7 linked regions of the Sus scrofa genome follow. The protein of the gene in region 1 interacts with the protein of each later gene in a pairwise test. Links are inferred from orthologs where the notes say so. Each region holds a gene or a part of one and is shown on either strand. Other genes may lie near its edges. The genes, in order: WDYHV1, RABAC1, CAPN3, EIF2B1, GAS7, FTH1 and C6H1orf50.

Evidence for each region.
Region 2: the proteins of WDYHV1 (region 1) and RABAC1 interact in binary tests that used the Homo sapiens proteins (3 or more experiments, as listed by UniProt). The two-hybrid records come from large-scale screens. The link is inferred for Sus scrofa from reciprocal best matches to the Homo sapiens genes NTAQ1 and RABAC1.
Region 3: the proteins of WDYHV1 (region 1) and CAPN3 interact in binary tests that used the Homo sapiens proteins (3 or more experiments, as listed by UniProt). The two-hybrid records come from large-scale screens. The link is inferred for Sus scrofa from reciprocal best matches to the Homo sapiens genes NTAQ1 and CAPN3.
Region 4: the proteins of WDYHV1 (region 1) and EIF2B1 interact in binary tests that used the Homo sapiens proteins (3 or more experiments, as listed by UniProt). The two-hybrid records come from large-scale screens. The link is inferred for Sus scrofa from reciprocal best matches to the Homo sapiens genes NTAQ1 and EIF2B1.
Region 5: the proteins of WDYHV1 (region 1) and GAS7 interact in binary tests that used the Homo sapiens proteins (3 or more experiments, as listed by UniProt). The two-hybrid records come from large-scale screens. The link is inferred for Sus scrofa from reciprocal best matches to the Homo sapiens genes NTAQ1 and GAS7.
Region 6: the proteins of WDYHV1 (region 1) and FTH1 interact in a two-hybrid assay, tested with the Homo sapiens proteins (2 studies listed by BioGRID and IntAct). The two-hybrid records come from large-scale screens. The link is inferred for Sus scrofa from reciprocal best matches to the Homo sapiens genes NTAQ1 and FTH1.
Region 7: the proteins of WDYHV1 (region 1) and C6H1orf50 interact in binary tests that used the Homo sapiens proteins (3 or more experiments, as listed by UniProt). The two-hybrid records come from large-scale screens. The link is inferred for Sus scrofa from reciprocal best matches to the Homo sapiens genes NTAQ1 and C1orf50.

What each region holds. Positions count from the first base shown.
Region 1 is NC_010446.5:15,981,937-15,985,436, forward strand, and holds part of WDYHV1 (protein N-terminal glutamine amidohydrolase), read right to left. Parts: intron 3,316-3,500; coding exon 3,191-3,315; intron 1-3,190. UniProt on the Homo sapiens protein: Mediates the side-chain deamidation of N-terminal glutamine residues to glutamate, an important step in N-end rule pathway of protein degradation.
Region 2 is NC_010448.4:49,932,075-49,936,238, forward strand, and holds the start of RABAC1 (prenylated Rab acceptor protein 1), read left to right. Parts: upstream 1-1,364; 5' UTR 1,365-1,513; coding exon 1,514-1,569; intron 1,570-1,820; coding exon 1,821-2,033; intron 2,034-2,313; coding exon 2,314-2,411; intron 2,412-3,869; coding exon 3,870-3,971; intron 3,972-4,055; coding exon 4,056-4,144; 3' UTR 4,145-4,164. UniProt on the Homo sapiens protein: General Rab protein regulator required for vesicle formation from the Golgi complex. May control vesicle docking and fusion by mediating the action of Rab GTPases to the SNARE complexes.
Region 3 is NC_010443.5:128,971,925-128,975,424, reverse strand, and holds part of CAPN3 (calpain-3), read left to right. Parts: intron 1-564; coding exon 565-650; intron 651-2,536; exon of another isoform or gene 2,537-2,583; coding exon 2,584-2,661; intron 2,662-3,416; coding exon 3,417-3,500. UniProt on the Homo sapiens protein: Calcium-regulated non-lysosomal thiol-protease. Proteolytically cleaves CTBP1 at 'His-409'. Mediates, with UTP25, the proteasome-independent degradation of p53/TP53.
Region 4 is NC_010456.5:29,354,305-29,358,296, forward strand, and holds the start of EIF2B1 (translation initiation factor eIF-2B subunit alpha), read left to right. Parts: upstream 1-1,192; 5' UTR 1,193-1,343; coding exon 1,344-1,356; intron 1,357-2,786; coding exon 2,787-2,888; intron 2,889-3,992. Other genes in the region: GTF2H3 (general transcription factor IIH subunit 3), read right to left, coding at 1,053-1,065.
Region 5 is NC_010454.4:54,764,742-54,768,241, reverse strand, and holds part of GAS7 (growth arrest-specific protein 7), read left to right. Parts: intron 1-1,081; coding exon 1,082-1,210; intron 1,211-2,043; coding exon 2,044-2,167; intron 2,168-3,500. UniProt on the Homo sapiens protein: May play a role in promoting maturation and morphological differentiation of cerebellar neurons.
Region 6 is NC_010444.4:9,533,858-9,537,850, forward strand, and holds the start of FTH1 (ferritin heavy chain), read left to right. Parts: upstream 1-1,193; 5' UTR 1,194-1,483; coding exon 1,484-1,597; intron 1,598-3,114; coding exon 3,115-3,261; intron 3,262-3,575; coding exon 3,576-3,701; intron 3,702-3,799; coding exon 3,800-3,958; 3' UTR 3,959-3,993. UniProt on the Homo sapiens protein: Stores iron in a soluble, non-toxic, readily available form. Important for iron homeostasis. Has ferroxidase activity. Iron is taken up in the ferrous form and deposited as ferric hydroxides after oxidation. Also plays a role in delivery of iron to cells.
Region 7 is NC_010448.4:168,665,280-168,669,410, forward strand, and holds the start of C6H1orf50 (uncharacterized protein C1orf50 homolog), read right to left. Parts: upstream 2,801-4,131; 5' UTR 2,704-2,800; coding exon 2,625-2,703; intron 2,506-2,624; coding exon 2,390-2,505; intron 1-2,389. Other genes in the region: P3H1 (prolyl 3-hydroxylase 1), read left to right, coding at 3,091-3,555.

The sequences.
Region 1 (3,500 bases):
GGAGAGTGAGGAGAGATGACAAATAAATGTAATATTCTGGGTTAGATTCTAAACCAAAAAAAAAGAAATTAGTGGGAAAAATTACAAAACTTATATAAGGTCTGTAAGTTAAGAGCACTGTGGCAATATTTTTGTATCAACTGTATTATTTTTTTGGTTTAGATAATTACACTATGGTTTTCTCAGATTCCCCTGGGATCTGACCAAAAGGTATAGAAAAACTGCAGTGTTTTATTTTTTAACCAATTCTCTAGTAGGCTAAAAATAAAGTTATTCAAAAATAAAAAATTAAATGAAAACCTGTAAAAATAAGCAAACTGCCAGTTTACTGGAGGCAACTGCCAATTTATAGGAATTCAGAGAACACAAAAGAGATACAATCACCAAAACCCACACCATTTTCTCCCAGACTCAGTTTCTCCAACATATAAATTACCAAAAAAAAAAAAAAAAAAGAGTTGGACTACGAATCTCTACATATCAAAAAGACTCTAAAGGGAGTTCCCGTCCTGGCGCAGTGAAAACGAATCCAACTATGAACCATGAGGTTCGGGTTCGATCCATGGCCTTGCTCAATGGGTTATGGATCCGGTGTTGCCATGAGCTGTGGTGTAGGTCGCAGATACAGCTTGGATCCCATGCTGCTGTGGCTGTGGCATAGGCCGGCAGCGACAGCTCCAATTTGATCCCTAGCCTGGGAACCTCCATATGCCACAGGTACAGCTCTAAAAAAGCAAAAAATGAAAAATAAAATAAATCCTGGAGTTCCCTGGTGGCTCAGCAGGTTAAGGATCCGGCATTGTCACTGCTGTGGCTTGGGTGGCCACTGTAACACAGGTTTGATCCCTGGCTCAGGAACTTGCACATGCAACCAAAAAAAACAAAAAAATTAAGTTGAGGGGGCCAGGGCAGCTAGATCTGGGGACAGTGTGAGAGAGGCGGGAACTACACAGAGAGCTGTCTGGAGACCTGCAGAGGCGCCTCAGCCCTTTACCCCCAAGTCTTTGGCTAAGGACTGATCTCACAAGTCCAGGAAAGAAGCAGCAGAAAGCAGTCTAACAACACCCCTCCAGCCCTCAGGCATTTGGGAGAATCCACAGAAAGGTCACTCGAGAGTGGGGAAGCTAAATCAGCAGCAGCCAAAGGCCACCTCGAACCCGCAGGAAACGGCCTACAAGCCAGCCTTGAAAGGACCCGCCTGACCCTCAGAAATTTAAGTGGGGCCAGAACCAAATCCAAGACTGTTTCTTAAAGTAACCCAAGATCTAGGAGCTGACAATGTGAAATGCACAAAATCCAGCAGCCAACCAAATATTAGGAGTCATACAAAGAAAACAGGAAAATACAACTCAAAACCAGGAGAGAAATCAGCAGACAAGGACCAGCGATTATAAATAGGCTCCATTTACTCAAAAGAGTAGTTAAACATGAGCACGACAAAGACCAAAAGGGGAGAGAGTAAATCAGCCCCAAATGGAGCATCTAGAAATGAAAAAACAAACACGTAAAATGGAAAAAAAAAAATGCACCGCAAAAGGATTTAAGATCAATGAATTTACAAGCAAAATAATTACTGAAAATGAAGCACATACAGAAAAAGTCTGAAAAAGATGAACAGAACATCACTGACCTAAGAGGAAAATGACACACTATCTAAACAACATATTTGAGGTGAAGTGTGATGTTTTCTTGAACCATTTTTTCTTTCCTAACCGTTTTTTCTTAAATAAAACCCTAACTAGCTGAAAGTAATTCCCCCTTAACCTAATTTCAAATATACTGCTTTGATAAAGACAGGGCTTGCAGTAATGCATGTCCCATACAAGAGAACACACAGTAAATTACGACATGAGAAACCAGTGTGTTTACCCCACACTTTGGAGCAGATTCCTTTGAGCTCCAATCTCAAGTTCAGGAGGCCTCTGATGAGCTAGCTACACGAGGGTGGGGGCAACTGACACCCGATCACAAGGTGCTACCGGACTTGGAGGCCTTCCAGCTGGGGAAGCAGGCTTGACCTGCCTGTGCGCCAGTCTGTATGGCAGGCAAGTGTGGAAAACAAAGCCTGCCTCTTGTGGTGAAGATTAAACCAAAATAAGATGCAAAGGGGCTGGCACCGAAGCCTCTCCCAAAACAGCACCTACTGGGTAGTAGCCATCAAACCCAAAGAAATGACTCACAGAGGACAGGGGCTGAGAAGGTGTTGTTTCCTGAAGGCCTACTACGCACCAAACTCTGCCTTAGAGCTGCCACAGGCCCTGTCAGCCTGGTGAGTGAGACTGAAGGCAAGATCCCTGAGGCCCCTTCCTGACCTCAGCTGTCCCAATTCTAACCCTGAGGTTGGGAACCCGGTTGGTGAGGCAAAATCAATTCCAATATAAATTTTTAAAATTATGAGAGCTTTTCACAGAGAGCCTCAAAAATCAGAGTTTGAATCCTCTTTCAGTCTTCACTCCCCTCAAACATGCCAAATATTTTTTTTACTCTCTTCACTGCTGAATTCCGAACACCACTGTCCTATTTTTCCGGCATCCTGTACAGCTTACAGAACAGTTTGACTCACACAGCCTCATCCATGTGAGAGGATGATTTCACCAATTAAAGGCAACGCTACCAATTACTTCCCATCATAAATAATGTTTCCAGCTTCAGGTGAGTGCCAAGCAACAGAAAGAGGTGAAGAACCCTTTATCCGCTTAAATCTGGAAGAATTACTATTTGGACTGATGCCTAAAAGCACATAAATGAGATGAGTGGGACGATAAAACCTGCTAGCTCTCACCTCCTTCTTAGGCAGCTTTTATTACAGAGCCAGTGAAATGACATTTCACACATTCCAAAGACGCGCTGGGATTTCCTCCCCATAACATGAAACCCTCCCGTGGCAAGATGCTTGTAGTCCCGCTGTTAAATGACTCGAACACGCAGACCTTCCGAAGCCCAATGTCCCAGCAATGGTGCCAGGGTTTGGGCCCTAACACCGTTCCTCTCCCATGAGTTCTGGTGCCCTCCAGTCCTGCTCTCCGTGCCTCGATTCCTAAATCCGATGAATACACAGAACGACACTCCCTCTTGCCTCCTTAGCTCTCCAGAGGTCTTACCCAAAGAACAATGTGCTTCCTGACCCTGGTTAAGGGAACGCGCTCATCTGCACAGTGACGGGAACCCCCTGGGGGCGGCCGTGGCTCACCTCCAGTCTCGATGCAGGGATAGGACGGAGGAGGTTCTCTCCAGTTCCCGCTGGAATCCTTCATGTGAGATCGGTCAGAAGCAAAGTTCTTCAAATACGAATCTGCACGGATCACTCGGAATTTCCTACACACAAACCAACATTCATTTTATATCACAGCTGAAATCCTAACTCAGCTCTTACATAGACCGTGTTCTATGACATGAACAAAACCACGCAGGCCTTTTTATACACTCTGTGATACAAAAACATACACATGCTGCTTTAATACCGGTTAAAGACAGCGTGAGAAATGATCAGCTGAAAACCC
Region 2 (4,164 bases), on another chromosome or scaffold:
CCAGCAGCAGCAACTACGTTACAGACATATTTGAGAAGGCTGAACTCTAGAAATAATCATAACATTCATGACAATGTAGTGGCAAAAACAACATCACCATTTATTGAGTGGTTATAAAATAGCAAGACTCTTTCAAGCACTTCACATGGATCATTCAACCCAACCTTAACCCATGAGTGTGGAACCAGGATGATCTTCACTGTCCAATGAAGACAGGGAGTTGATGAAATCAACACAGGCTGGATTTTGACCTCTGACCCAAGAAATCCAGTTCTTTTAGTTGTAACTACTCCGTCTTTTAAAAATTCTCAGAGTTCCCATCATGGCTCAGTGGTAACAAACCCAACAAGTATCCATGGGGACGCGTATTTGATCCTTGGCCTTGCTCAGTGGGTTAAGTGTCTGGCGTTGCTGTGAGCTGTGGTGTAGGTCACAGATGTGCCTCGGATCCCGCCTTGCTGTGGCTGTGGTGTGGGCCAGCAGCTGCAGCTCTGATTCGACCCCTAGCCTGGGAACCTCCACATGCCACGGGTGTGGCCCTAAAATGACAATAAATAAATAAATAAAAATTAAAAATTAAAATCCCTCATTCCCCTCAATAAAACTGGAATAAAAAAAGATTAAAAAAAAAAAAAAACAACTCACCCCTTTACTTTCCCCTACTTCCCTTTACCCTCTCCATAGCAGGGGCATCCTTGAGGTCCTAATCCTAACCCATCCATCCTTAGGAGCCCAGAGTTGTGGGGGAGCTTTGCTCCCCATCTTAGATAACCCCCTTCAGCAACCATGGCCCCCTCACTAGCCTTTGAAGAAGGATGGAATGGATTCCTACAAATATTCTACAGTCTCACTATTCAAATGTGGTCCATGAGTTCCCTGGTGGCTCAGGATCCCCCACTGTCACTGCTGTGCTAGGGTTGCTGCTGTGGCTAGGGTTCGATCCTTAGCCAGAAAACGTAGCATGTCCCCACCCACCCCACTCCCTGCCTGCCACAAAAAAAAAAAAAGAGCCAGTGAATGGGTCTCACCCCAGATCTGATAAATCAGAACATCTGAGTGTTTAATCACGGTTTTTTTTAATATCCTTAGAGTCAGAATGACAGCCCTACACAGTCCCCACTGTACAGAGACTGCTCGGGGTAGTACACGACGTCTTCTGCCTTTACACTCCCCCGACACCCTGACTCCTGACAGCTCACTTTCTCTGACCTCGCACGTCCTACCTTTGAAACTACAACTCCCACAATGCCCCCGAGGCACCCACGTCGCTTTACGCGACTACATCTCCCAAGGTGCTCCTCGAGCCATGCAGCCACCAGGGCGCCTACTCTCCCCGACATCGTCAGGACTACAACTCCCATAATACTCCGTGACAAACCTACCGCCCCCAGCGGCGCCGGAACGGCGCCACGTCCCCTCCGGCCACTTCGAGTGAGGCCGGTTTCGGGCGGGGCCCGTGGGGTGTGGAGGGCCCCAGCCTCGTTACAGCGGTTCTTCCCCTCACAACACAGACATGGCGGCCGAGAAGGACCAGCAGAAGGATGCCGAGGCGGAAGGGCTGAGCGCCACGTAAGCAAGTCTAATCTAGCCCCCCTGACCTAGACCCGAGAGTCATGGCTTCTCGCCCCTCATCCCTGGGGAGTTAGGAATCCGGACTCCTGGCCCCGGCTCAATCCCTTCCTCCCCTGGAATCCAGGAGTCCTGGACCATATCTCCCCCGCCCCCCAGAACCCCGGAGTCCCGCTCCCCTCGGCCCCCTTCTTGCTCGGGGGTCCGGGCTCCAACCCGGTCTACCGCTGACCTGGTCCCGCACCCCCCAGGACCCTGCTGCCGAAACTGATTCCCTCTGGCGCGGGCCGTGAGTGGCTGGAGCGGCGCCGTGCTACCATCCGCCCCTGGGGCTCCTTCGTGGACCAGCGGCGTTTTTCGCGTCCCCGCAACCTGGGCGAGCTTTGCCAGCGCCTCGTACGCAACGTGGAATACTACCAAAGCAACTATGTGTTTGTGTTCCTGGGCCTCATCCTGTACTGCGTGTGAGTGTCTCTCTGGCCAGAACAGCCCCCCTCAGCCAGGCCCCGCCCCCGCCAGGCTGCCATGTCTGCACTGGCCAGGCCCTGTCCCCATGGGATAGCTCTGTGGGATCTTTACCCCAGAGGACCAGGTCCCTACTCCATCAGCCTGGCTGGGATGCAGGGGGACCAAACATGACCTAGACTTGCGTGGTCCTAAGGACGTCCCCAGGTGTAGAAGGTCAGGGCCTTCGTGTCTGACGCAGCCCCAGCGGCCTGACTGTGCCTCCCTGCCCTCCTCCAGGGTAACATCGCCCATGCTGCTGGTAGCTCTGGCTGTCTTCTTTGGCGCCTGTTACATCCTCTATCTGCGCACGTTGCAGTCCAAGTTTGTGCTGTTTGGTGAGAAATCTGCCCAAACTCCTCTGATCCTGGCTCTTTGAATCCAAGCCTTAGACCTCAAACCTGAGTCCTTTTGAACCCAAGTCTGCCCAATCCTAGACCTACAGTAGATTCCCCATACCCACACCTGATGCTCCTATCCACTCTCAGTCCCCCCAAATTGCTGTTTCCCAAACCCAGAAGATATCCAAGAACCACTCCACCTAGCCGCTGGCCTTTTAAACCTCCTCCTTCTCTCTCCCTCATCTGCCAAAAGCATCAGCTGCAAGTACCCACATTGGACGCCAGGTGGCGACTTTACTCTAGCCTAAATCTGTCCTCCCCCTTTCGTGCTTCCTGGGATGGGAGTAGAAAAATCTTGGGACTTCTCAGAGGGAAGCTGAGGCCTGTGGCTCATGTGGTCCTAGACTGGCACCAAGCACCACTGGGAAGAAAGAGGGCCTGAGTTCCCAACTAAGGGAAACTCAAGGTTTGGAGTGGAGATAAGGGGGAGTTGGAATCAAAGAAACAGGTAGACCTAAGACAGAATCCATCAGAAGCCTGCCAGTTATGTATCTGGTAAGGGTGGGCTGGGTGGAGGAGCATGTCAGGCGAGCACAGGGCACAGAGGGAGCGTCCAGAGCATAGTCACAACTTGTCTTCAGCCACTGCTGCCGCCAGGGTTTGCAAGTCTGACTTTCCAATCTGCCACAAGAAGCCAGATGTCTATACAGCCATCTCTCAGCTTTTCTAGGAGCCCCCAGATTTTGGATACCCAAATCCGAGGATGCTCAAGTTGCTGATGTAGCAATGATGTAGTACAGTGACCCACGGGTGCCCATCTGCGGATACAGAGGGCCGACTGTATTGCTGTGTGAAATCATTCTGTCTGTATGTCAGCAGCAAATCAACAAATCGTGGCTCAGCGGTTAACAAGCCTGACTAGGTTCCACGAGGATGCGGGTTCGACCCCTGGCCTCGCTCAGGGTGTTAAGGATCTGGTGTTGCCGTGAGCTGTGGTGTAGGTTGCAGACGTGTCTCGGATCTCGCGTTGTTGTGGCTGTGGATCTGATTCGACCCCTAGCCTGGAAACTTCCATGTGCTGTGGGTGCGGCCCTAAAAAGCAAAAAAATTATTGTGGAATAATATGCAAACTCAAAAAACATGTCTAGGTGTCAGCCTGGGCCTTTGGGATGCCAGTTGGAAAACCCAGGTCTATGCGAGGGCAGGTTGGAGCAGGAAAGCTGTAGTTTGGGGAGGGAGAGTCTGGGAGCTTCCTAGCAGAAGTAAAGTTGAAGGGTGGAGGGCGGTGGGGGGGATTACTGAGGAAGGTGCACTGTTTCAGGGGACAGTGGGTGGGGACGCTGGGGAAATGGCTGGGGCCGGACTTGGAGGGCCTTGGCATAAGGCATTTTGGGGGTTACTCTGGGAGAGGGGACAGGTGTGGAACAGCTGTCCCAATGCCATCTGCCCCCCCAGGCCGAGAGGTGAGCCCCGCCCATCAGTATGCCCTGGCCGGGGGCGTCTCCTTTCCCTTCTTCTGGCTGGCTGGCGCGGGATCCGCCGTCTTCTGGGTCCTAGGTGAGTGAGTACAGGGTCTCGGTGGCGCGGTGGGCAGTGGGGGCCGGGGAGGCAGCAGGCCCTGAGCTGCCCGTTTTCCCCCAGGAGCCACCCTCGTGGTCATCGGCTCCCACGCCGCCTTCCACCAGATAGAGGCTGTGGACGGGGAGGAGCTGCAGATGGAACCTGTGTGAGGTGTCTTCAAGGACATGTC
Region 3 (3,500 bases), on another chromosome or scaffold:
TTTGCTCCCATTGGGATGTCTGGCCTTCGCTGGGTCACACTGGAGACCAAAACCTCACCAGGCTTCTGTGCACAGTTGGGCAAGTTGTTCCCTATTCACAGGGATGGGTAGACAGGGACAGTCATCTGCCGTGGTCCACGAGGCAGATGGGAGGAAGGGGCATCTTCTTCTGATTGATCCATCTAGAGGGGACGTTTTCTGTAGCTCCGCAGTCAGCAGGGTGTTATTTCCCATTCATGCAAAGACACCTAATACACTAGCAAAGCCCTACATTACATGCCCCACCTCCTACCCCAAAGCTCTTCATGGCCAGATGTTCCTTGAGAAAATCATTTCTTAGAAAATGGCAAGGTGATGGCCCAGTCTGACTTCTGTGAACTCAGGTTCTGCCCCATCACCCTGCCTTTCCACAGGGAGCTTCTGATCAGTCTCCTTGACCAGGGCCAAGCAGGACATCCCCAGTATGGGATTCTCTCCCCACTCCCACCCCAGCCCTCAGGGCAAGACAGCAAACCCCTTTCCAGAAAGGACCCAGAGTGAGAGAACTTTTTCTCTTTGCTCAAGGCCCTGTTCAAGGGTGAAAAGGTGAAGCTTGTGCGGCTGCGGAACCCCTGGGGCCAGGTGGAGTGGAATGGCTCCTGGAGTGACAGGTAGGTGAGGAGACCCCACAGGGAGGGAACAATGGAGCCTGGGGCAAGGCTGGGTTAGGTACCAATCCACAAGAGTACTACAAATGCTTGGTCTAAAATTATCCTTAACACCAATGATCCACAGAGGAGAAGTGGGGCTGTCGGCTCCGGAAAAGGGCAGTAAGATCAGAGCCAGGGGGATTCTGGGATCCGGAGAGCTCACATGGCCACTGGCTGAAAAAGAAAGATTCTAGAAATGGGCTGAGCAAATCCCTGCTTCCTTGGTGCACAGTGTGTGCCAGGCCCCATGCTACTGTTTGGGGACTTAGAAATGAATGCAGAGACTTAGACCCTGACTTGTAGGCTTTCAGATCCAATGGGAAAGACAAACACTAATAATCACTGATATAAATGCTAAGGTAAGTGTCACAAAGAGGGAGCCCCTCCCCTGGCTTGGATAGGAAGGCAGAAAAAGGGTACCTGGAGAGGGTGGCATTTGACCTAAGCTCTCTGCTCGGGAAGGCCCTCGGTGCCCCATCAGTGGGCCACGCCTCTGGCCCGAGTCACCCACAGGGATCCTCGCTGTGTCCTCCAGTCTCAGAAAGTGGTATCCGGCCTTAACTCACTTTCTGCCAACACCTCTGCTGCAGGGACTGCTGACAAGTGGGGCCCAGCCTCGATCACTCAGAGGGACTCCCTTTCCCCACTGTGTCCCTCCTGCCGGTCTTAGGACTCGCCATTCCCCTCAGCATTCCCTGCTTCCAAGCACTTCCTCAATCCCTTCCCTCTCCAGGGACAACCCATTTAGTTTCACTCTCCTCCACGTGCCTGAAACACAAATGTGCTTTATTTATGTCCTCCTCCTTCGGGAGAAAGAATGTATAAAGCTGCCCAACCTTTAAAAACACAAAACAGGAGAGTTTTGTGGGGTGGCAGGGTGGAAGGAGAAGTTGACATGTTTGGGCTTTCTCTCCGTTACTCAGACAGTCACTTTGTAGATGACGAGGACTGTTCTAAAAGTTTTTCATGAGTGATTTTATTTCTTGCTCATCACAGCCCTGTGCATAGGTGATATAATCATTCCCCTTTTGCAGCTAAGACAGAAGCAGAGCAAAGGTGAAGCGACTTGCCCAAAGTTACAACTAATATTATTACATTGAAACCCCAGTTTATCTACTTCTAGAGCCCAGAGTATAACTTTTAAAGTGTTTACGAATGGTTAAAGAATCAGCTCGGAGTTCCCGTCGTGGCTCAGCAGAATCAAAACCGACTAGGAACCATGAGGTTTCAGGTTCGATCCCTGGCCTCCTTCAGTGGATTAAGAATCTGGCATTGCCATGGGCTGTGGTGTAGGTTGCAGACACGGCTCAGATCTGATGTTGCTGTGGCTGTGGTGTAGGCTGGCAATTGTAGCTCCGATTGGATCCCTAGCCTGGAAACTTTCATATGCCACGGGTACGGCCCTAAAAAGAAAAAAAAAAAAAAAAAGTATCAGCTAGAAGAGTCCCCGCTATAGCACAACAGGATCAGTGGTGCCTTGAGAATACTGGAATACAGGTTTGATCCCTGGGCTGGCACAGTGGGTTAAGGATCCAACATTGCCATAGCTGCAGTGTTGGTTGCAACTGTGGCTTGGATCTGCTCCCTGGCCCAGGAACACTGTATGCCATTGGGTGGCAAAAAAAGGAAAAAAAAAAAAAAAAAGAACCAGCTAGAGAAGAGTCAAGCCCTTATAAACCATTTAAGGAGCTTGATCTTAAACCTGAGGGTGGTAGGAATCAATGACTGGATCTTACACTGAGGGTATCAGATCAGATTTGCATTTTAATGGGTCACACTAGCTGAGATGAGTTATTCTCTAACCTTCTTCCTGTTTCTCTGATACCTCCTGCCCTAACCTATACCAGGCCTTCCCTTTCTTCTTCCTTCTATAACGCCTCCATTGTCCCTCTAGTTGGAAGGACTGGAGCTTTGTGGACAAAGATGAGAAGGCCCGTCTGCAGCACCAGGTCACTGAGGATGGAGAGTTCTGGTGAGTCCAAGACCCAGGAAGACCCTGAGGGGTAGGCGATTGGGTAGGGGCTGAAACCCTAAACCTCAAACCCCAGAGGCCATCAGGTTGCAGCCCTTGGGACATCTGGGCTCTGTTCATCTCCAGCCAGTGGCCCCGGAAGATTGAGGTTTTGGGAGGAGCCCGAGAGTCATGGTGATGACTGTGCCCAGGACCAGGCCAGCACGATGTGGCCCCACCCTCTGCCATGCACACTGCTTCAGCCACTTGCTCCCGGCCTTCATGGTGCCACTTTCTAAGCCCAGGAAGCTCTACTTACTGTGCTCATCCAGTGCCACCCTTACCCTCACTCAGATCATTTCTGCTTAGCCTTCGAGTCAGATTCAACTTTTCTTCAGGATCCCCTTGTCTTCCCTAGGACTGAGATGAATTTCTTTGTGATACTCATCACGTTTAAAATTGCTTGCTTAATTGTCTGTCCTTTCCCATCTGTGTCTCTTTTCCCTGTGCCTGGCACAATGCCTAGGACCCAGTGGAGGAGCACACAAGAAACATTTCAGAGAACTAAACTGCTGCCAAGCAATCCCATCAAGGACACACGAGTTTGAGTCTTTATTTCAAGAGATACATCAGAAATGACCCTAAAAAGGAAGGACAGGGCTCTCTCTAGGTCCATGACCAAGTTTCTCTGGATTATTTCATTGTGCTGTGTTAGCCTTGGAGTCTTACCTTTCCCAGCTTCCCATATGGGTCTCTCTTTCCTTCCAACTTCTCAGGATGTCTTATGATGATTTCATCTACCATTTCACAAAGCTGGAGATCTGCAACCTCACAGCTGATGCCCTGGAGTCCGACAAGCT
Region 4 (3,992 bases), on another chromosome or scaffold:
GCCCCTCTAATGAGGTTCCAGCACATGTAATCCTATCACTCCATCTCATGCTGACAACAATACAACGAGGGACTTATTGCTATCTTCCATCAATTATAAGATATACAACCTTTTTTTTTTTTTAACATTTGACAGTTGCTGAAATCAGCATGGTATCTTACTATCATGACTGACCACATTCTATTTTCTCTCTTAGTGGTATATAAAATAAAATAAAAGCACATTTCATAATCAATATCTTCTTAGACTCAATGAAACTTCTATTTTGCAAAAGAAAGTAACTTGATCTAAATCACACGGCCTTCCAGCAAGGAGCAGAGCCAATACCCAGCTCTGAAGACACATCCGCTGGACTCTTAAAGACCGTGGCTTTTCAATGCCCCCCTGCCTACTTCTGACCGCCCACAGCATTCCCCTCTTCTAATGACAGTACTCACTAGCTCATTTTACAGTTAGCTGTGTTTCTGATCTCTCTTCCCAACTCTGCCCTCCAAACCCTGGACTCCTTAACGAGGAATGTGTAAATCACACAACAAAGTGCCTAGCACAAAGCAGCACTTAATAACTCTCACAGGCCCTCATTCCTCTGACCATAAATCTTTGGCCTTAGTTCCCATCAAGCCCCATCCCACAATTCTCAGGGCCATACGTTCCTTGCTACTATCAAGCCTGGAAAAAAAAGAAATTGTTACCTGTCAGGAGAGATGTGTAGCTATACACATGGAATGTCCCTGTGAATTTCTTTCTTTGGGTCTCCACCTCCTTATTTGTAGACAGAGACCACACCAGGTCGGCCTCCCTCACAAGATTGTTATACTGATTAAAACACTTGAAGGATGCATGGACAACTGCTACGACCCCAGAGCATAAAGAAACGCCTGGAATACAAGAGGCGCTCCAAAAATATTTACTAAATGAATGAATGCATTCGCTACTTCTCTAAAGATCAAACAGGTTCCACCCAGCCCCTAAGATAAACTCCATTTGGTTGATGCTGGCCGGGCAAACTCTGCCCAGCCCAGGGGTCCGGGTCCCGCCAGCGCAGCCCTCACCGTCTGAGACCATGGCGGCCAGTGTCCCTCAGCGTATCGGCAGCTGCTGCCAGGCGAACCTCCCAGATTCCGCTTGCCCCAACTTCCGGCGCCACCGAGTGACGTAAAAAGAGTCTTGGCTCAGGCAGCAAGCCCTTATCCACGGCCCCGCCCTCATGGCGCCGGAAGTGGAGTGCGGCGCTGCACCGCGCACTGTCAGTTTCTGTGACTTGGGGTCCGCGCGGTCGCACGACACAGCAAGACATCGCGTGTGGTTCTCGGTCCTTTGCGCTCCGCGGTCCGGAGGGCACCATGGATGACAAGGGTAAATCGGAACGCGACGGGCCTGCTGGGCCAAAGCGGAGACGCGCAGGGATCCCTTCACCTCGCACACCCAGACTGAGTTCCGAGAGTGGTCACTTTTCGAGCTCTGGCTCTTTGGCTGGATGTAGTTCTTCTGGTCACAACTAGAACCCTCTCGCTGCTCCTGTATCCAGGGAATAGGTCCTGGGGGCATCCCTGGACACCCCCTCTCCCAGGCTTCCAGTGCCCTCTTCCGAAAAAGTGAGACTTCGGACGAAGTGTGCAGGTCTTCGAAGTCTTGATTTCCTCATATGTGAAGTATGAGTTAGACTCCCTGCCCTGTTGGATCTGGTACTAGAATCAAAAGGCGTTTCTGTGTTCATCTAGTGTGGTTATGAAAGTGTTTTATTAAGTGAATAAAAATAACTAATATATAGTACCTTTCATGTGAAAAAATTAGAGAAAGGTGGACCTTTGCATACACATGCACATACATATGTATGTAAGCGAATAGGCTTTACTTGGCATACACTATCTGGAGGGGTGCAGAAGAAATCGGTAAGGTGGTTGGTTCTGGGATTCTTTTTGCACTTGGGATCAAGAATAAGGGAGAGGAGTTCCCGTCGTGGCTCAGTGGTTAACGAATCCAACTGGGAACCATGAGGTTGCGGGTTCGATCCCTGGCCTCGCTTAGTGGGTTAAGCATCCTGCGTTGCCGGTGAGCTGTGGTGTAGGTCGCAGAGGAGGCTCCGATCCCGCGTTGCTGTGGCTGTGACATAGGCCGGCAGCTACAGCTCGGATTAGACCCATAACCTGGGAACCTCCATATGCGGAAGGTGCGGCCCTAGAAAAGACAAAAAAAAAAAAAAAAAAAAAAAGTAGAAAAAGGGAATTCCCTTGAAGTGCAGTGGGTTTAGGAACTGGTGTTGCTACAGCAGCTCCGGTCACTGCTGTGGCCGGGGTTGGATCCCTGGACTAGGAATTTCCACATGCTGCTGGCACATCCAAAAAAAAAGAAAGATTAAGGGGGAGAATGACCTTTCACTATCATTTGGTGGAGCTTAAATTTTATGCCATTGTACATGGATAGCTTTTTCAAAATGACTGAGAAAGCTTGCCAATAGTAAAGTGATGTCATCTCTAGTCCTATCAAAATTGATGTGCCCCTGAAGCCAAACACCCTGCAAAGAAAATATATACATTTATATTTTTTTTCTTTTTACAGCCAAAGCTTGCAGCAACACCAGGTCTGTAACCCACTGAGGGAGGCCTGGGATCAAACCCACATTTTCACAGAGACAACGTCAGATCCTTAACCCACTGGGCCACAACAGGAACTCCAGAAAATAATTTTTAAATTAGCTTGTTTTTTAAGCTCAGCAGTCATTGATAAACTCTTGTCGTCCATCCCAATAAATCACCTTGATAAGCCACTGTTTTATCCCTTCGCAGAGTTAATTGAATACTTTAAGTCTCAAATGAAAGAAGATCCTGATATGGCCTCAGCAGTAGCTGCCATCCGGACTTTGCTGGAGTACTTGAAGAGAGATAAAGGTAAAGAGTGTCATCCTCAATCACTCTGGGTGTGAGGAAAGTCTGCTCATCACCATTAGAAGTGTAAAGCGAGAGATGTATATAAGATGCCTGCATAAGGTGCCATATGCTCAGCTTCTCCCTTCATTTCAGTCCTCTTAACATGAAGAGAGCTCTCTAACTATCATCAAATGGGGGGCATTTCACAAATGAAATTTGTTCTGAATCAAGAATGACCATTTTATACCAAGTTACTATGAAGCTTAAATTATAGCAGTAGTTCAACTTTACTAGTGTTTATTGAGCTTCTGTCTTGTGACACATTCTGTGCAGTTGCTATAGAGAATGTTCCAGTATAAATTCTGGTTTTCATGTCATCATTGTGATTACTACTAATTCACGCATCCTAAATGTGAGTATCTGGGTATAAGCAAAATAATAATAATAGTAGAGCCTTCTTTAATGTAAAGGGCTGGCCCAGGAGTGCTGTGGTAGCCTAGCAGATTAAGGATCTGGTATTGTCACCAAAGTGGCTGGGGTCACTGCTGGGGCACAGATGTGATCCCTGGCCCAGGAACTTCCATATGCCGAGAGCAGCAGCCAGAGAAACCCAAAAACAAATAAAAAAAAAATTAAGGGCTGGCCTAGAGATGCATATCTCTAAGACAGCATCCAGTATCTATGACATCTAAACACCTAAGCCTTACCTGCACCACCTCGCAGGCCTCTCCTGATGCTGCTATTTAATTTCCTTCCATACTGTCCCTTACTGAATTATGCTTCCCTCTGGCCTCTTTGTTTCTCATACTACGTTTGTTCCCATCTCTGGGCCTTCAATTTGTTATAGTTTGCATCTGAGACTTTTCCCACTGGATCTCTATGTGGCTGGACCCTTTCTTACCCAGGTCTCTGTTTAAATGGCCCACTCCAAGAGGCCATCCCTGTTTACTCTGTCTAAAGTAGCTCCACTTTTTTCATGATTCTGCCTTTTTTTCCCATCATTTCTGCTCCTTTCAATCGTAATTAACTTGTTCCTTTCACTGAATGCTTATTTACTTTCCACCTCTCCCACTAGAAAGGGAATTCCTAAGTTCCCTCTGGCACAATGGGTTAAGAACCCAGCTG
Region 5 (3,500 bases), on another chromosome or scaffold:
TCATGTGTGATCGGTGGTTTAGGACGAGGAACTCCTCTCTCCTCCAGGCCCAGGGAAAAGATAATGTAGCCTGGGGAGGGAGAGGAGAGAAATCACAGCCTCCCAGAGCTGGGATGTCACCCGTCCATGGAAGTTCAGCTCTGCTACCAGGGGGACAGGTGGAGGCCGTGGGACCCTAGAAGGCCGAGTCGGGGCCATAGGAGGCCAGTGCGGGGAGGGGCTAGGAGGCTGTGTCAGGAGGTCTTGGGAGGGCAGGTCTGGGTAGGTGGGGCTCTGAGAGGCTGAGGCTGGGGCCTCCTAGCTGTGACTCTGACCACAGCAGATCCACGTGTATCTGTTCTCTTGTCAGCTGCATCTCATGTTCACCCCCCCCCCAATTTTTAAGTAAATGTTCTCCTTCCAAAGAGAGCAGAGTGGAAAAGAGGGAAGGAATAAAAGAGAAGGAAAAAGCTTAAAACCCCAATGCCACCCAGCGCCTCTCAGAGTATAAACTCCCTCCCCTGGCCCTCGGGTGCGAGGCTGGTCTTCTCACATGGCACGGGGGTTCATCAGCCTCCATGTGGACCAGCCGGCGCAGCTCAGGAGAGGGGCCCCGGGAGCTCCCAGCACCACTGCCTCGAGCTCCGGACCTCATCCAGATCATCTGTGGTCTCAGCACCTGGCACATAGTAGGTGTTTAATAAGTAGAACCAACCTGAGATCACCCAATTAAATGTCATCCATGCAACAGTCGCTATGCTACATGCTTAGGGACACAGAGATGGTGGCTTGGTTTCCGCGCAAGAAGCTCCCAGTCTGGAAAGTAAGAGAGTCTGAAATGTGAGCAAAGCCCTGGAGGGAGCTTGGGGAGCTTAGAGCAGGTAGGGGGTGCCCACAGGGACTCGGAGGGCTCCAGATGCTAACCCATCCATCGAGACGAACGCTGGGGCCTGGCCAGCTGAGGCGACTTCCTCGACCGCGATGCGATGAGCAGCCACTTGTCTCTAACCTTCCCCATCCTCCCCCGTGGGGTGGGGGGAGCCCCCTCCCTCCACTTGCAGCTGATACCCCAGGGTCCTGAGTGTGTCTCCCCGATCAACAGCTTCACAGTGAGGTGGAAAAGCCGCTGATGAACTTCCGAGAGAACTTCAAGAAAGACATGAAGAAGTGCGACCACCACATCGCAGACCTCCGCAAGCAGCTGACCAGCCGCTACGCCGCGGTGGAGAAGGTGAGGGTCCCAGATGCCCGGCCGGGTGGGAGGGGTCCTGCTGGAGGGAGGGGGCGGGGAGCCAGAAGGGGATCCCTGTGCCAAGGCAGGGGCCTTTGTCCCCACCACCCCGCCGGGCAGGATCTGGTGAAGGTCCGTATGAGAACCCCAGCCTTAGGGCAGGTTGGCCACTTCCCCGTGGTGCTCAGATCCCCAGTGGGAACAGGCAGGGCTGCACCTGCCATGGTGGGTGAGACTCCATCCCACAGGTGAGACGAGGTGCATCCAGATTTTTGGTCTCGGAGCCCGGAGGCACTGCCAGCCCACACGTGTCCCCTTTGGGTCTCACCTGGCAGATTCCCTTCTGACTGAGTCACCCCCTTCCCAGATGCGGAGGTGGTCTGACCTTGGGAGCTGCGGATGCCAGTCATGGAGCAGGGAGAGGTCTCCCCAGAGGCTGACTCCGGGGTCAGGAGATAGGGGATGCAGGAGACGGGGGTCAACACTGCTACGGGCACCCCAGACGCTGCCGGCCACAGCCACCACAAGGCCCATGCTTTCGCAGAAAAGCTGTAATTTTAGGACCACCTGTACACATGCCAATGAAAACATGCTCTGAGCCTGCTCTGGACCAAGAGACAGAGATGAGAGGATGCTTTGCAGCCTCTGCGTGGTCCCTAGCTGCCTGGGTGATGCTGGTCTAGCTGCTTAGCCTGTCAGAGCCACTGGGACCTCATCCACAAAAGCAGGGAAAAGAAGGGACTCTTCCCTGGAAAAGGGGGAGCCAGGCCCCGGGCCCCATGGGGCCCTCCCGGCTCTGAGCCCATGAACAGTTCCATGTCCTTGGACCCCAGGCCCGGAAGGCACTCACGGAGCGGCAGAGAGACCTGGAGATGAAGACCCAGCAGCTGGAGATCAAGCTGAGCAACAAGACGGAGGAGGACATCAAGAAGGCACGGAGGAAGTCCACGCAGGCGGGTGAGTGCGACACCGTGCCCACTGCCCCTCGCCAGCTTTGCCTGGTCACAGGAGCACGAGGGGAGAGGCTGGAGGGGGGTGCCCAGGAGGGCGCATCCCACAGGATGAGGCTGTGGAGCAAGAAGCAGACCAGGCTATGTCCATACACCCCCATAGAGGGTCCTTCTGGCCAAGCCCTCTTCTCTGGTCCAGGAGGTGGACAGTCTGCCAGGCACCTGGACCTGGGGTCCTAGCCCTGCATGGAGCTCCAAGGAGAAGTGCAAACCCCACCCTCCGTCCCAAGTGATCCCACCTCCCTGGGGAGCCACACTCCAGAGGTTCTCCCAGGGCGATGGGCTTCTGCCCCAGGACAGAGGCCAGCATTTTGTTTAACGAAATAACTACATTTAGATTCTCGCCACAAGATTCGCCCAGTGAGTCAGTTTCTGCTTCCACCTAGAGGTAAAAATTAGCTAATGCACAAGGACGGGGGAGGAAAGTCAGAAACAGTTAAAAAAAAAGAAAATTGTTAAATATTTCTTAAAAAGAAAAACCATTCCACTACGTGCAAGGACAGTGCGTTTTGCTTTCTGGGGTTAAAACGTGACGTGCGCTGTGGGATCAGAGTGTGGATTAGAGGATCTCTGAACCCCTCTCACGCCACCTTCCGGTGACCCAGGTACAATTAGTTCATTATAGGATGAAGCAGCCACCTTCTGGACATGTTGAAATCACGTGGTCTAAAAATGTCATAACAAAGCAATGTCATATCAGTAGAGCATTTCACATAAAGATCTGATAAAGTTGTATTGGATCCAGAAACAGAAGGCACACTGCACTTGTTGGCAGTAGGAAGGGAACCCAAGGACGGGGAGAGACGCATTTAAATTCATTTATTAAACTCTAAAAAAATAAAACGATATTACAAAAACTGTATTGCTGCCTGGCCAAAAAAAAAAAAAATTTAAATCAGCCCATAAGAATAGAAAATCTTACATAATCACCATCTGCAGCTCCTAGTGTTTTAATGTTTTGTAATGTTTCTAAATGTTTTAATTGACGTATATCCCATCATATTATACTCTCTGTTCTGAACGCAGATTTTTAACCATCTCAGAGCCATGAATTTATTTAGCCATCCCTTCACGCACATCGGACGCCATAGGTGGTTGATGGGTGTGCAAGGGTCTGGTTGTATCCGGATGTGGGTCACCCTTCCTCTCGCTGGGTTTTGTGGGGCTCTTGGTTTCAGAGTGTCTGCCGGCCTCGGCGATGCTGTTACTGTGAACGCATCTCTGCGTGTATGGGGCTGACTCCGCATCTAGACAGGACAGACGTGGGGTCAGGAGCTTGT
Region 6 (3,993 bases), on another chromosome or scaffold:
CCCCATTAAAATTTTTTTTCCTTAAGTAACATATGTACATTTGAAATGAATAAAGACCCAAGAGAAATCGCTGTAATTCCACCAGCAACTTGTTTTCCTATTTTAGTAAAGTTCCTTTAATTTTTTGTTGTAAAGCTTTTAGAAGTACAGCTTACAGTTGGACATTTGTGAATATCCTGAAAAGGGTCTTGGGTAGGTCCCCTACCCACGTGTTGAAGGGCCTGATTAAGAATCGTGGACCCTGGGGGCAGCAGATTGGGTCTGCCTAGCTCCAGTTCTGCCACCCACGAATTCGCACCCACTCAGTGCCAGGGACACTGCTGCAAGCCACACACAGTGCCCCAGCCACTCCACGTTCTCTGGCATCTGTCCTTCATGTTCCGCGCCTTCAGCTTCTCTCCAAGGACAACCCAGGGGGTGGCTCCCTGTAGAACCGCCTGAGCCTGAAGCTCCTGGGGCTTGATCGGCCATTTCAAAATGGCCTCACAGCATCCTTTTCAGATTCAAGCAGCTTCTTTCCTCCTTTTCTAACCCCCTTGGTCTCTGAGTTGTAAGCTACCGGCCGATTTTCTCAGAACCCTGGTGGCTCACGACTCCCTCGGGAAGGCAGTCTTTCGGGGAAACACGACCCGCCCAGCCTTTGTTGTAGCAACTGCACGAGGAGCCACGTACACTTTCGGCCAAAGCCGGACCGGGCCACCAGAGCTGGAGGAGGCCCGACCCCACCTGCTTTGGGCCCCTTCCTAGGTTTTGAGGAATTGAAAGAGGGCCCTTTCCCCGCCCGACCTCTGCCTCACTCCGGGCCCACGTTCACTCTCCGGGTTCCCTATTTGCATTACCAGGCACCTCGGAGTGTGGCAACTGCAGCTCTACCGCTCTGATTTTTAACATGACCTTGGCCATAAGTCTCGGGGTGCCCGCTTGGGCTCTTGCAAGAGCCTCGACGCCCCAGGGAAGGTTTCCCGTCGGTTGCAAAACCCAGGCTGTCAGAGCCCCGAGAGTCATAGAGTCACAGCCCCGAGCTGGACTTCCTGCCCTTGCTCAGGTCGTCTCTCTCATCCCACGAAACGCACCTCAAGGCGTCTGCGCGGGACGGGGTTCCAAGACTCCCAGGCTTCGCCACCCCACCCCTTCCCTCCCCTCCCCCACCATCCCAGTGCGCCTCCCCCCACCCCCGCCCGCACCCACCGGAAGGGGCGGGGCTCCGCGCGGCGGGCAGGCGGCGTGATTGGCCGCGGCGGGGCGGACGGCCGATGCCGATATAAGAGCCGGGCCAGCGCTACCTGCGCCACAGTCTTCGCGGAGAGTCGCTGCGGTTTCCTGCTTCAACAGTGCTTGGACGGAACCCGGCGCTCGTCACCCGCCCCGGCCGGCCGCTCAGAGCCAGCCCTCGCCACCTCTTCACAGCGCCCTCGGACCGCCCCAAGGCCACCGCCACCGCTCCCGCGCCGCTGCCGCCACCACCGCTCCTCAGCCTCCCGCCATGACGACCTCGTGCTCCTCGCAGGTGCGCCAGAACTACCACCAGGACTCGGAGGCGGCCATCAACCGCCAGATCAACCTGGAGCTCTATGCCTCCTACGTCTACCTGTCCATGGTAAGCGCAGGCTTGGCCGGCGGGGGGCGGGCTCGGCCTCGGAGGCGGCGGGGCGGGGTGTGGCTAGCGGGCGGGGCCTCCCGCCTCCCGCCTCTGCGCGGTTCTGGAAAATGGAGGCTGCTCCGGGTCCCCCAGGACTTCGCAGAAATTCCGAGGAGTCGGCCCTTTCCGACTGACCCCTGGGAGTGCCCCTTTGTAGGCCGACTGCCTCTGCCCGCCCACCCCCCTCCCCCCTCCCCCTTTTTTTTCCTTGCCGCGCTTGCTGCCAGTACCATCCTGCAGTTAGGAAGGTGGATTTTCGCATTTCCATTCCGTCCTCTGCATCCGATCACGTGATCCTGGGCGGAGGCGAAGAGGTCCTGCTCCCATCCCCCAGAATACGGCGGAGCCTGCTGGGTAATGGTGTCGAATAGCAGCCCTGGGGGCTGGTGTGAAGTGCTTTATCTCCAGTGGGCTGACCACCCGAACAGCCGTCTCCACCCGTTTGCTCTGCTTATCGCCAAGTCCCACTTGAATTGAAGCACATCTCTAGAAATCTCTCCTTCCGCCACAGTTGTCTTAGTCACCCGTCCTTGCGCCTGACTACCTCCTCCTTTATTCTTTTTGTCTAAAGGTTGGGGCCTAATCGAACCCTTCGTTCTTGGATAAAGTCCATCCACAGTTACAGGGCCGGCATTTTTTCCATAGAGGGGTCAGTTTTCCAAATTCCTGGTTTTAGGCGGTGTGGTAGGAGTTGTAGAATTGTCTGACCATTACGTAAACCATCCAAGAATAGGCAGGTACCAGATGGGTTTGGAACTGGCCTGGATTTCTATGACTGCCCTTCCATTTCAGGAACACCCAGCAAGGGTCTAAAAGAACCCAGTTTTGCTTTCTACTGTTATGCCTTTATATACATTGTTGCCCACAGCCGTCTACTTCCCTAGTGGGGTACTTTTAGAAATGCATCGGTCTGGCTGTAAGCTGGCAAGTTCATGTTTTAACATGGATTAATCAAGGAGGGAGAAGGAGGAAGCACTAATAGTGCGGAGTAAATACTCCACTTTCCTCTCTTCGACCAGATGTGACACTGGCTGTAAGAATTTAACTTTGGAGTTCCTGCTGTGGCGCGATGGGGTTGGCGGTGTGTCTGGAGCGTTGGGACTTAGGTTCCATCCCTGGCCTGGCACAGTGGTTTTAGGGATCCAGCACTGCCACAACTCTCATGAGGGTCACAGCTGTGGCTCCCATCTGATCTCTGGCCCGGGAACTTCCTCAGACCAGAGGCGGCCAAAAAAGAAAAAAGAACTTTGCTCTAACACAGATCCTGAGGATGTTCCATGGTGGTGGCAAGTCCTGTGATATTCTAAATGCTCCTTGTGAACATTTTTCATTTTTGCCCTTAGGAGTGAGAACTAATGACTGTTTAGTTCGATGCAGCAACGCAGCCTGCTCTGATCTCCTTAGACCCAGACCCCTTCTTGCTGGGCTTTGAGAAAGGAAGCCTAGGCTCACAGACTCCTGTTTTCACTTTTCAGTCATACTATTTTGACCGCGATGATGTGGCTTTGAAGAACTTTGCCAAATACTTTCTTCATCAATCTCATGAGGAGAGGGAACATGCTGAGAAACTGATGAAGCTGCAGAACCAACGAGGTGGCCGAATCTTCCTTCAGGATATCAAGGTGAACAAAAGATTCCAGGGTTGTCGTGCCTGATGTGTCTGGCGCTCCTCAGGTGGCAGAAGGCACAGACCTGAGCAGTTGCTCTTATCAAGACGCAGATACGTTGGGCTTGTGGCTTGTGGCTTTTGTGCTGTTGTGGGCCTATCGTCTAAAGTGGGCAGATGGTAACGGGCAAGGATAGTAAAATAGAAACTGTTGTCGGGGAAGCTTGGATATTCCTTTCGCCAAGCACAGTGCTTACACGTTAGGTGCTTGCTGACTTGGGTTTAAAGGTAGAGGCTGCAGGTGCATTGACTTGGCTCCTTCTCGTTCAGAAACCGGAGCGCGATGACTGGGAGAATGGGCTGACTGCCATGGAATGTGCGCTGCACTTGGAAAAAAACGTGAATCAGTCCCTGCTGGAACTGCACAAACTGGCCACTGACAAAAATGACCCCCACGTGAGTATTGAGGCAACCTGGGAGGAGGAGGAGGAAGTCATTTACCTCGGGGCCTGGGAAGGCTCGCCAGTAACTCTCTTCCCCGTTGTCTTTTCCAGTTGTGTGACTTCATTGAGACGCATTACCTGGATGAGCAGGTGAAAGCCATCAAAGAATTGGGTGACCACATTACCAACTTGCACAGGATGGGGGCCCCCGAGTATGGCATGGCCGAGTATCTCTTTGACAAGCACACCCTGGGGAGCAGTGAGAGCTAAGCCCTAAGCTGGCCTCCCGGAGACACGGGGTGACC
Region 7 (4,131 bases), on another chromosome or scaffold:
GACCTGTACCGTGGAAGTGAGTGCTCCTTTCCTACTTCCCAGAGTGCTACCTGCTTCACTCCAGACTCCAACCACACTCAAAGTTTTCAGTCCTCTGGAGCTTCCGGTGTGGCTCAGTGGGTTGGGAACCGGATTAGTATCCAGGAGAATGCGGTTTGATCCCTGGCCTCGCTCAGTGGATTGAGGAGCCGGCGTTGCTGCAAGCTGCAGCACAGGTCGCAGATGTGGCTTGGATCTGGCGTTGCTGCGATAGTGACATGGGCCCGCAGCTGCAGCTCTGATCCCACCCCCAGCCCAGGAATTCCTATGTGCAGGTGCGGCCCTAAAAGCGGGGTGGAGGGGAGTTCTCAGTCCTCCAACACGCCCTGCTTTCTCTTGCTTCCAAATAATATGGAATAGGCCCTCTCCTCCATCCATTTCCCCTCTTGCTCTTTTGCTTAACCCTACTTATTCCTCCGGTCTCTACTTATTTTCTCATGTTTAAACATTTCTGAAATTGGGTGTGGGTCTTACCATGAAAATCCAAAGATACTTGTGGTTTGCCACTTAGCAGCTGCTATACAGGAACCTAACTACATATTAATGTAATATGTGTAATCTGACCACTACATCAGTTGACTTATTTATATCACAATTATACTTCATCTCATATTTGCATTCCTAATTGTTACTTAAAATGCATTTTTTAAAGATTGCACTATGGGGGTGGCACAGTGGATTAAGAACCTGACTGCAGCGGCTCAGATCACTGCAGAGGTGCCAGTTTGATCCCTGCCCGGCACAGTGGGTTAAGGGATCTGGTATTGGTGCAGCTGTGGCACAGGTCACAGCTGCAGCTCAGATTCAATCCCTGATTCAGGAACTTCCACATGCCACCGGGGCAGCCATTAAAAAAAAAGAAAAGAAAAGAAAAGACTGCACGATAATGCAGACTTGAAACAATGCTACTATCAGTCATGTGCTAGGAAACCAAACTGAAGGCATTGGAAATTGCTTAAAATAAATAACTTTCAAAGCTACAGGAGAATGATGTGACCAATTCATGTACTGGAAAGGATTACCACATCAGAAAGCTGTCAAAAACTCCCCAGGTTACTTTCATGAAACGCTGATTAACTTCCAGTGGTATACAATTAAGTTAAACAAAAGAAGAAGTTGAACTAATAAATACTAAGAGAATTTGCTGGTTAGTTGAGGAAGCTTAAGGTAAGAGTCAGGTATAATCCAGTGTTACAAGTGAACAGAAACAACTAAGCCAAGTCAGGCGTTTGTCTGTTCCACCAACATATACTTAGCAGCTGCTGGGTGTCAGACACCATGCTAGGCCCTGGATGCACCGGCAAACATGAGAAAAAGGTCCCTGCCTTCGTTAAGGTTACAGTCTGATGCAACTATCCTTTAGAATAGGAAGCAAGTTGCATCTGTAATTTTAAATTTTCTAGTGAACATGTTAAAAGTAAAAATTAAGTAAAATCAATCCTAATAATATATTTACCCAATATATCAAAAAACATCATTTCATCATGTAATCAATATAAAAATTGTTAGAGAGATATTTTACATTTCATATGAAGTGTATATTTCATATTCACAGCATCTATCAATTTGAATGCTAAATTTTCATTGGAAAAACTTGATCTGTATTGAGACCATAAAATTTACAGTTGAGTTGATTCGCATACTCAAATTGTTCCAAATACATTTAAAAGTTTCCAAGAATTGAATCAATAACCAGGTTTTCTGTTTGTCTGTTTAGGGTGGCACCCACAGCATATGGAGATTCCCAGGCTAGGGGTCAAATCTGAGCTGTAGCTGCTGGCCTACGCCAGGGCCACAGCAAAGCGGGATCTGAACCTCGGCTGCAACCTACACCTCAGCTCAGGGCAATGCGGGATCCTTAATCCACTGAGCAAGGCCAGGGATTGAACCTGCACCCTCATGGTTCCTAGTCGGATTCGTTAACCACTGAGCCACAACGGGAACTCCGGTGCAAGGCTTTATAGGCCATGAAATATGTATGTGCATTTTGTTCCAAAGACAAGGAAGCACCTTATGGCCAATGAAAGTCGGTGGCAGGCATCCCTCCCAACAAGTGATCAGATGAAACGGACACACAGATGTTCTCCATAAAAGACCCAGATGAAATCGTGAGTATCGGGGTGCTCTGCAAACCTTCCCATCGAGGGAGATAACGGGCCCTCAAGACGCCGCGGAAGGGGTCTTCGGTCTCAGGAGGTCAGAGTTCGAGTCAGGCCACCGACTCGCAATGACCATCAGTTTTCCCCGCGTGCAGAACGGAGATAAGGACAAATGCTACCCCACAGTTTGGCTTGGGGGGGCCAAGCGAGCCCGAAGATGGTCCTTGACGTCCCCGGCCGCGCCTCCTCACCTTCTGCACCTGCTCCGCGAGCGCCACGAGGTCTAAGGGGTCCCCGGCCCGGTGGGTGTGGTAAGGGCTCACCAGGGCCAGGCCGCCGGGGGTCGGGCTGAGCTCCACCAGGGCTCCTGCGACACACACCCAGGAACACAGGCCGTGAGCGCCCGCCCTCGGCCTCCCGCGGGGCCGGGCAGACTCGCTGCTCCGGGCGGGCTTCTTTGCCCCTTCCGACTCCCGCCCCGCCTACCTCCCCGACCTGCCGCCGACTGAACGCCTCGGTTTTCCGTGACCCCCGGAGTCGGCCGGGGCGTCGCAGCGTCTTCCATGGCAGCGCCAGGTCCCAGCCTCCGGCCCCGGCGGCGCAGGGCTGCGGAGCCTGCGCAGAAAGGCCCGTGGGCGGAGCTCCCGCGTCCCGGCCCCTGGGCGTCACGGCCGCCGGGCGCTCGGGGGCGGGGCTCCTGCGGACTCACCGAGGCCCGCAGAGGGGCAGGGTCCAGGCTCGGGGAAGGCGAAGGCCGCGGTGCAAGCCTCCGGGGTGTGAGCTGCAGGGTGGGGAGGCGGGGCTTCCCGCGGGGCGGGGCCTCCCGCGGGGCGGGGCCTCCCGCGGGGCGGGGCGGGGCCTCCCGCGGGGCGGGGCGGGGCGGGGCTTCCCGGGGGTGGGACTCCGGCCTCCCCGGAGGGTGACCCGCGGTCCCGTTAGGTCCGAGGCCGCAATGGCGGCACGCGCGTTGAGGCTGCTGACCATGTTGTGGGTTGTCGCCGCCGCTGCCTCCCGAGCAGAGGCCGAATCCGAGGCGGGATGGGACATGACGGCGCCGGATCTGCTCTTCGCGGAGGGCACCGCGGCCTATGCGCGCGGGGACTGGGCCGGGGTGGTGCTGAGCATGGAGCGGGCGCTGCGCTCGCGGGCCGCCCTGCGCGCCCTCCGCCTGCGCTGCCGCACCCAGTGTGCCGCCGACCTCCCGTGGGAGCTGGAGCCGGACTCTCCCCCAAGCCTGGCGCAGGCCTCGGGCGCCGCCGCCCTGCGGGACCTGCGCTTCTTCGGGGGCTTGCTGCGCCGCGCGGCTTGTCTGCGGCGCTGCCTGGGGCCGTCGGCGGCGCACTCGCTCAGCGAGGAGCTGGAGTTGGAGTTCCGCAAGCGGAGCCCGTACAACTACCTGCAGGTCGCCTACTTCAAGGTGCAGACCCGGCCGGGCCCGGGGAGGCCGGGGTCCTTCCGGGCGTGGCGGGCCAGGGAGAATGGGGGGTGGGGGGAAGTGTCCGCGGAGAGGGACCGTGGCCTCCTGGCCGGGAAGCTCTCCTAGGACCCTGGGAGAGCTGGGACCCTCGCAGGAGACCAGCCTCGGCCGGTCCGCGTAGGCTGATGGTGACCCCAAAGGTCCACCCTGAGGTGAAGGCACAGACCGACCAAAACTTGGCCTTGGGTTCCCTAACAGGCCCTGAGAGGGAACTACAGCGGCAGCTTGGGTCTCTGATCCTGATTTCATTGTAAGTTCCCGAGTGAGAAGCGAGGACCTTTCTACAACATCTTCCTTCCGGTTCGCTTTTCAGTGATGCTTTTCCTGCTGCCCGAGTGCGGAGCTTTCTTTCAGGACCTGAGGTTGCCACGTCGCCAGTAGGGGCTGTCAGGCCCCTCCCTGTGGGGGACCCTCTGGCCGGTTTGTCAGGTTTCCAAAGAAAATTAGCATTTTTAGGAATTCCGGCCTGCAGGGTTTTAAGTCCGAGTGTATGCGTGGATGTGGAGCGCTTCTGAT